Drosophila melanogaster: one gene and its partner. The protein of the gene in region 1 interacts with the protein of each later gene in a pairwise test. Each region holds a gene or a part of one and is shown in the gene's direction. Other genes may lie near its edges. The genes, in order: eIF4G2 and eIF4E3.

What was found.
Region 2: the proteins of eIF4G2 (region 1) and eIF4E3 interact in a two-hybrid assay, tested with the Drosophila melanogaster proteins (one study listed by BioGRID).

The regions. Positions count from the first base shown.
Region 1 is NT_033777.3:23,816,006-23,821,065, reverse strand, and holds the start of eIF4G2 (eukaryotic translation initiation factor 4G2), read left to right. Parts: upstream 1-1,828; 5' UTR 1,829-2,085; intron 2,086-2,246; exon of another isoform or gene 2,247-2,454; 5' UTR 2,455-2,839; intron 2,840-4,035; 5' UTR 4,036-4,054; coding exon 4,055-5,060.
Region 2 is NT_037436.4:8,227,231-8,231,330, forward strand, and holds eIF4E3 (eukaryotic translation initiation factor 4E3), read left to right. Parts: upstream 1-1,993; 5' UTR 1,994-2,151; coding exon 2,152-2,203; intron 2,204-2,268; coding exon 2,269-2,527; intron 2,528-2,593; coding exon 2,594-2,668; intron 2,669-2,722; coding exon 2,723-2,822; intron 2,823-2,885; coding exon 2,886-2,973; intron 2,974-3,030; coding exon 3,031-3,191; 3' UTR 3,192-3,338; downstream 3,339-4,100.

The DNA.
Region 1 (5,060 bases):
ATTTGCTTTTTGCATTTGCAAACAATGCAATTTACGAATACCGCACTTATGAATTTCTTTTAGAAATTTCTCTAATTATTGCACAATTTTCACATTAACATTTATGGTAGTCGAGCTTATACGCGATTTACTTTGAGTAAATCTTGTGTTTGGTTTTATTTTAATTGATTGTGTTAAATAAACGGTAAAAAAGAAACGAAAAAGTTTTATTTTGGGCTATGCCCATTCTCGTTTTAACGGGTTTTCAGTTCGCGCACTATTTTTATTCGTTTCTACATGGATGCCAAAATTATATGAGTAATATAAGAGTTGATTTCGTAACCGGCTCAGGTGCAGTAGTCGCAGTCGGTTGCAATTTCAGTTTGGTGCATTCTCTTCTTGTTGTGCAGAATTTTTCAGCGCCAAAGTGGAGGAAAGTGATGCGGGAAAAAAGCGTTACGCGCGTCAGGGCGAATCAAGCTTCGGACTTAGTGTGACCGCAGCGGGAGTAAAGGAATTCGCTTTTGGTGTGGCTGCACTCGCGTCCCCGAAAGATACCATGCGGTGCTGAAAGAAATACCAAATTAAATCATTATGGGTTCAAAATATACCAAAAAGCAGAGGCTTTTTTTTTAAGGGGGATTCAATTAATAAGTATACTTTTAAATAAATTAATAAGATGTAAGACGATATTATCTTTGAAAAATGTATAAAATTTAAATAAAACTTTAAAAATCGTATCTTTTTGATCCAAATTTCGGAAAGTGTTGCAATTTCATTTTCGAATTGTATTGTCAAAACCTGCCGCTCAGGTAGCGCACTCAGCGACCGTTATATTCAAAATGTTTGTGCTGAGAGCAAAATTATTGAAAAAAAGTAAGAGCCTCGTCCATTTACTCATCTGTTGTCCTCACACTATCTTTAGTGCAACCGCAAAGGCCACAAAAACATGACAGTACGCACAGGAAAACAAGCATTGCAAATGACTTCACAACTGAAATGGAAAAAAAAAAATGCAAAATACGGACAGTCCGTATGCGGTTTCGTTGTGCCAAGTTAAAATATTTGCATTTGCGGTCTAGTCTTTTTGCATTTTCAACCACCAAATAATCCCTTCAGACTCTGTTTGTGGGCTCTATGTGTATATAATTTTTTTAGGCTGCAATAAGGCTCCGAGTTCATTCTTGCACTCGTTTTACTTTAAAGTTTTGGCCATAGTGTATACTGAGATAAGGAGTAATAAGTAGAGAAGGGTATAGCATTGGAAAAACGGATACTAGAGGGAGGTGAGGGCGCAGAGTAAAGGATTATGTGGGAAGTGGAGGGCGTTGCGCATCCGGCAAAACAGAAAGAGCAAAACTTTTACTACAAGCGCGTAAACACTGCAATTTCTGCACGAGGGGTAGTCTAAGAGCATTAAGGGGAGGCAATCCGGAAGTTGCGAATGGAATGGAAACAGGATTCTGCGCATATGCTGTCCTACGAATGCGTAAATTATGAATATATCATTCAAATTAAAATGTAAAGTTAGAATAAACAATAATAACAGCGAAATATGTGTGGAATTTATATGATATTCTGCGTCATGCACCACAATGCGCATTATATAATAATTGTTATTATAACACCTGCATAAGGCCTATTTTTCTATTTCGAAAGAATGATTATTCTTATGATGAAGAACGTTCAAAATATTACGCGCCAAGCTTGAATCCAAGTTCTCCACCCCGGTTTGAGGACGCACTAAAATGTATAATATTCCTGCGGGATATTTCTGGAACTTTCACAATCGATATTCGCTGCGTAGACATCGATGCTGCCGCCATCGAGTTATGTTCCATCCCTACGTGCAACGGTCACTCTTATTTCATCAAACGAAACGGACGTGTTTCTGCAGACTATTTACATTACAAAATTGTTTGTAACAGATAGTGAGCCGTGTATACATAACGAGGTGAAGCAGACGATGCACTAATGTAAAGGCGCAGTGCCAGAGCAACTTTTTGGCGTGTTCCCCGCGTGGAACTGCATTTTTTTTTGTTTCCTTCCTCAGTTTTGTGTGTGGAGTGCGAGCGAGAGAGCGTGCTAGCGAGCAGGAGCAGAACGGTAAGTACTGGCGGCCAGACAGAGACAGAGAGAGCGCAAAAAAAGAGCGAACGGCAAAAAGTCAAAACGGTAAAAAAACATAAACCAACGCCTCGCCTTTTCGGGGAAAAGTATTACCTGAAAATCTGAAAAAGGTTAAAAACCTACAAAAAGTCCCCTTGCCATTAGTGTCAAATTACGAATTGGCACTTGGCTGCCCATTTCTCATTCTCAATCCGGGGCTGAGGCTGCTCAGCTGGACAAGGAGAGGGAATAAATTCGTAGCAGGCGCTGCTTTGGTGTTCATATTCATCATATTGTAATTTTGATTCCTCGCAATTGCAAAATTTAAGCATACGTTTTAACTTCCTCTAACGCCTTTAATTACAGAACAAATTACCGTGAAATTTTAGCACTAGCCGTACGTTATTTTGTATATTTGTACGCATGTACGTGTACGTGCCCCTCGTCCGTCTGCACAAATGCAGATGTGCATGTGCATCACAGTGAATTGGAGTATTTTTATACATGGAATATCTGAGCTATTGTAGTATTCCGGATAGAGCCAACAACCACAAAGACGAGGAGTTTCCACGAGAAATAGGAAAAAGGAACGGAGGAGCAAATAAGCAGCAGCAGGAGGAGGCGTAGAGCTTGACCAGGTGTCAAGGGAAGCCGGATAGGCTTAAAGGCAGGTCTACCTTAGGAACTAAGAAATAGGATAAATCGAATACCCTTATAATCATCACATCTACCAATCGAAGCACAGGAAGCGGTAAGTTTCGAAATCTGACTTACAACTTACTCCCATTCTAGTATTTGCTTGCTTTTTCACGCAATTTACATTAATTGTTTGTTTATTAGTTTAATAACACACTACTACTACTATAACACACTGCCTCCAGTACGAATGCACTCCCAATAAGCGATCGCGATCCCATTTAGAGCAGCACCCACACACTCCAACTGGTTTTGTTTACAAACAAACATGAAACAAGTGAGCCTATCTGCCAGCCAGGTTTTCGTTTTCCTCGCCATGGAGTGAAAAGAGCCATGCACGTACTTCGTCTGCTGGAAAACTGGTTTTCTTCTGGCTTGAAGGTGCTTGGCCGCAAACTGCAGCGGAGTTGGTTTTTCTAGGCCAGCAGAGAGCTCCAAAGAGAACACCACAGTGAATATTGGCCAATGTTTGTCTTCATATTCTTATCAATCAGCATTGAACGCTTGCTTAGCAAAACAACAATGAAATTCCGTTTGGTAGTATTATAACTAAAAGAAATCATATCGTAAACAGTTTTAAGTGATCTAGTTCTTGCGGTCTCCACTGTGCCGATGGAAGTGCTGACGGAATGCCAAACTGGTTGTAGCCATAAAGACGACAGCAGCCCATAGCTCACCTCCTACGCTCGCTGGCAGCTGCTTCTTTGTGGCTGCCTTTGTTTTGTTCCGCTTTAAGGCCAGTACTGACTAATAGCGCCACTTGTTACCGTGTGTCACCTATGTACAAGTATTTAGGCTGCGCAAGTGACTAGTCCATTGATAAAACCGGCGCGATAAGGTGTCGAGCCATCTTCGAAAGCATTTTGGATGTATACACGCCCCGCGAGTGACATCATACACCACATTCCAATTAAAGAGCTCAATTGATTGAAATATTAAAGAATAAAGAAAAGGGTAAAAGAGGGAGTGCATTTGTAAAATAGCCCTTAGTCATAAGATGTAAACACATAATTTGCATGATCATTTTTGGTTGCTTTTGCACACGTTTGATTTAACTCTCATTCGCATGTACTCACGGCTTTGACTGAAAACCTAATACGCCAAGCATTTTCCACATCGCCAACTCCATTTTCACTTTCATTTCCATCTTACTAACATTACGATTTGTACATCTGTTTTGCTCTGGCCGCGGTTTTCCTAACTCTCCGTGTGTGCCTGTGCGTGTGACGGTGCGATTGTATGCGTGTGCAGATCCTTCGAAGGTCCTCCTATGTTCCCTCAACAGGGAGGGGGTGGGAAGGGAACCAGGCCACAGTCGACACATCAGCAGAACCACAACCATCAAGCCCAGCATCACCAGGCGACGCACTCGCACCACCATCACCTCCAGCAACAGCAGGAGCAGCAGCAGTCCCACGCAGTGTTCGTCCCGAACCACAGCGGCCTGCACCACCACCAGCAGCAGCACTTACTGCAACAGCAGCAGCAGCAACACCAACAACAAGCAGCCGTCGCCGCCGCTCATCTTCAGCAACACATCCAACAGCAACAACAGCAGCAGGTGCAAGCCCAGGCCCAGGCGCACCACCAGCCGGTCATCTTCTACAATACCCAGCCGTCCTACGCCGCGCATTCCGCGGCGGTTAACAACAGTGCCAACGGCGGCGGCGCTACCCTCCAACTGAGCGCCGCCGCCAGTTCCAACACGTTGGGACATCCTCTTACTGGTGGTCACCATGGTGGAGCAAATGGCGTGGCGCCGGGGTCAAACATGCCTCGTGCCCTGAGCAACCCAACTCTACCACCCCACTTTCAACAATCAGCTGGCCTGATCGCACCTGCCGGCGGAAATGCGGGTGGACCCTACATTTCCGCCACCTATATACCAATTAATCAGACCGGACCTCTGATGGGCATGCAGCCAGCTGTGACCTTTCCCACTAACGGAGCGGCTGGAGCTTCATTCTATGCGGCTGCGCCACCTCCTCCACAACAGAAACAGCTTCCTCCCACTGCTCAACAACAAGGTCCAGGCGGGGCACCGGGAGCTGCTCAAACGCCGACACTAGCTTACTACCAACTTGGGCCGAACGCTCAAAACTCTGCTGGAAACAACGTGGTTAGTGGTGCCAATACACATCGCGGCAATATGCGCGGAGGGCAAAGATCTACTCCCACCGCCCAACATACCAACTACTTTACCGCATATACCATGGCCCCAGGAAATGCCCAACGTCCCGCTCCGACAAATGTGGCTCCAATGATGAACTCGCGCA
Region 2 (4,100 bases), on another chromosome or scaffold:
CTCCGCTTGCCACTTCAAGGTGCAAAATGTACGACGTGCGTCGTTCCGTACATCATCGCATGCTTTGTGCTTTCAGCACTGAAATCTTTTACAATCAACATGAAGCAGCAGCAAAGCAATTTTGTAGCCAAAAAAAAAAAACAAATAAAAAAAAAGAAGAAAAGACAGCCGAACGGAAGCGAAACGAGAAATGGCGGGGTAAAACCGGAGCGAACATAATGCCTCAAATCATTTTCATTTCTTGCATGCGCTTGTCTGCACAGAACTGCCTCAAGATGAGGTCCTAGCTCTTGGATACTTGAGTCCTTGGATCCTTGGCTTCTTCTTGTAGTTTGCCCCATTTACGCGCTTTTCCCCTTCGTTTTCCCCGGCAGTTTGTGGGCGTTTTTACTGCTTCGGCACTCAAATCGCTTAAGCTGGTGCGGGAGCCATCCCCCCATAGACTCCCTCAACATTACAATATTTTAAAAGATTTACTGACCATGTATTTTCAGCTCAGCCAGCAAAGTGCAAAAAGCTGTAAAATATTGCGTATACGCCAAAGTGCCACCTGAGAAGAGCGGAGCACAAAGTCAAATCTAACAAAGCATAGCTAAGCGTTTGCCGGCAACTTAACTCGAATGGGGGAGAAGCCCCAAAAAAAGAGTTGGAACTAAAGTTTTCCCTCTCGGGAATTTATGGGCTACCAACTCCATTTGGAGCAGGTAATTTTTAGTTATGGGATTCAAGGAATAAACAGGCATGTCAAAAAATATAAATATTAAAAACCAGCAGTAGCTGAAAAAGTTTTATCTATTGTTTAAGTGAAGAGAGGAAGGGAATAACGTGCGATACGAGCTTATAAAATGTACTTTAAGTTAAGATAGTCTAGATATTAAAACACTTTCTAAAATTTTACAATTCCTTGTTTTAACTTATTCTCCCAATTAACGAAACAAATTTGGAGCAGTTTTTTCCTCAAAAAATCCCAGAAATACGAGCTGGAGCAGCCGCCAAAGCTGCTTAAAAGCAAAAATAAATAGAATTTTTAAGTAAATTGGGGCTGGCAACTTATTTGGCTGCGAGAACCAAGAACAAGGAGCAGTGCCAACACTTTTGTTCCAAACTTGGCCGGCATAACTCACCCGTGCATCCAGCAGATGGAGATGGAAACGGAGATGGAGCTGGTGCGGAGCATCTTGGTTGGAGTGCAAGTTGGTGCCACCGCACCACCAGCCGCGCAACAAATGGTGCACATTACAAGGGCCCAAAGCTACTTTGCCAACGCCAAAGGAGCTGCCACGTAGCGACTCACATATTTTATTATCTGCACCGCCGCCAGGGGCGTGGTGATGGGTTCGGGCAGGGGTGAGGTGTGGGGCTTTGCCAAAGGACTCCGGCACGGAGGGACCCAGGACCTTGTGTGTGCAACAAGGCGCACAACTTAAGCGGCGAAGACAAATTTTTATTGCCACAAGCCCAAGTCGATTTCGATTATTGACTGCAGGCCAAACTGTTGCACAAGGAGCAGCCAGAGCAGACAAGAAAGGGGGATTCCTCTACTCGCTCCAGTTCCATTCCCAATCGTATCCGTCTTTCCGGCTGCCAACTTTGTGTGGCCGTGTCTGTGTCTGTGGTTGCTGTCGTCGTCGCTCATTTGAGTCACATTTTATTATTTTCGTGCATTTATCGTATGCTCGGTGGCATTTTATTTTATTAGCGTGACATTTCAATTGATAGACCCTCGGGCTCGTACTTAACCGACTCAATTTGATTTTGCAACCAAAATGTGCGAATGGGAGCTGCAATATCGGAGTGTTTGAATGGGGTGCTTAAGACTTGGATACAAGATTTATTGATGAAATAATGGCAGGATGTACCATAAAATATTTTAAATAATAAAGGCGATAAAGGGATAGAGTCTTTTGAAAATAAGCATATTACGCAACGAGATGGTCACATGACTTTTCCAATACTTTTTCATAACCAAGGTGGCAACGCTTTAGCTGTCATATCTTGATTTGTCAAAGTGTGCACTCATGTTAAGCCATTTTCATTAACGCTTATACTTTGCACGAGACATATACCATTTCAAGGAGTTTTTTTTAGTAAAATAAAACGAGAAAACTAACAAAAAAAGGTTCGTTTATCGCATTGAATCAATAAAAAACAATGGTGTACACCGGTTACGTAAGCAACGGATTGCAGAATGCTGAGGAAACTGGTAAGCTGACAGCAGATCTTTTTTTTTACGATTCATCATTCGATATGCGAATCGAATATATTTAGCATGGGTGCCGTATGGAGATCCCAATGACTGGTCACATGGTCTGGCAGTTTATGATGGTTTGGAACTGATGAGCGGCAATGAGGAGGAGTTGCAGCCCTCATTGAACCGGGTGATGAAAAACATCGACTACGACCTGGCCATGAAGCATCCATTGGAGCATACCTGGACTTTGTGGCACTTGGAGAACGATCGTACCAAGCGCTGGGCCGAAATGCTCGTCGATGTGACCAGCTTCAACACCGTTGAGGACTTCTTCAGGTCAGACACAGATTCATATATATATATATATATCCTATATATATATATCCTATTCTATTTCGACAGTGTGTACTACTTTGTGAAGCCGCCATCGGATCTGAAGATATTCAATGACTACATGGTCTTCAAGAAAAATATTCGGTGAGTTCTGAAAGTCTGCTCTTTGAACCTCGTCTTATGTATATAAATATTTAGTCCCATGTGGGAGGATGACACCAATAAGAACGGTGGTCGTTGGATACTGCTCCTGGACAAGGCCTCCAGGACCTATATAGATAAGATGTGGCACGATTTGGTAAGCCACATGATTGCACCATAATTATAAGCTCAATGCATTATAAAGCATTATCTCCTTTAGCTTTTGTGCATGATTGGCGAGTGCTTCCAGCACTCGGACGAGATATGTGGAGTGGTCATCAATGTGCGCAACAAGGCTAATAAGCTATGTGGGTATAAGACAGCATTTCACATTGGGGTATCTCTAAGGTCAACTTTCTTTACAGCCCTTTGGACGAAGGACTCTCGCAATGTAGAGGCTATCCTGTCCATTGGCAGGCAGATAAAGGAGCTGCTGCATCTGGGCATTATGGAAATCCAGTACCAGGTGCACAAGGATGCCATGGTGAACCATGGACCCAATGTCAATGCCATCTACACATTGTAGGCCAATTTCCAAGGGCGCCATAGTACATTTCCAACGATAGTACATAAGCCTTATACATTTGTCAAACTCACATTTTATCCCACGCGCACCAATGCTTTTCGAGATAGATATCGGTTGTACCATGAATAAAGTATTGCGTAGAGCAGTAGAAACAGTAACTACTTTCTGGCCACGATTCGTGTGCCGGTATCCCGAGGCTACTATAGTCGCCTCACGTATTCCCCGGCGGAGTGGGAAACACATACTCGCTTCACTACGATTATCCTTGGCGTCATAATTTTGGGTGACTCTGCCCATCCTTTAACGGCTGCCATCGCGCGCCAAGTGCTTATTCCTTCCTATGTGTGTGCGTCGTCCTTTCAGGGCTTTTGTCTTCCGTGCTGCTGCGCATAGCAAATTGTGACCAATTTATGGAAATATGCTCGGGAAGCGCAATATCCTCCATTTCCAGGGAAGTGCTGCTAGTGCTCCTAGCAGGTTTTTCATTCTATATTCCAAATATATATATATTCCATATTCCAAAAACTAATATTTCAGATAGTATTGCCGGTATTCCTGGAAATCTCAGCACCTATGATATGTATAATATTTCTGCTCACATACTAAATGATATTTGAAAGTGCAAAATATTCAGACCCTGAATTGTCATCACTGATGCCCATGTAAGTCGTATGATTTGATTGCTGTAATTTGTAAGGATTTTGCTTTTATTGTTTTATTGAATTATGAAGTGGCAGCCACCAAATGACTGGAACGTGATACACTGCACATGGGGTTATGTCAGTGCCAATGGCAGCGTATCTCCGACATCCTGTCCAACCTCCCGGCGATGTCACCCTCTTTCTTCTCCCTACCCGCCGCCGGACGAATCCTGCTTGATATGAACGGGATTCCTTGGCGCAGATGAAT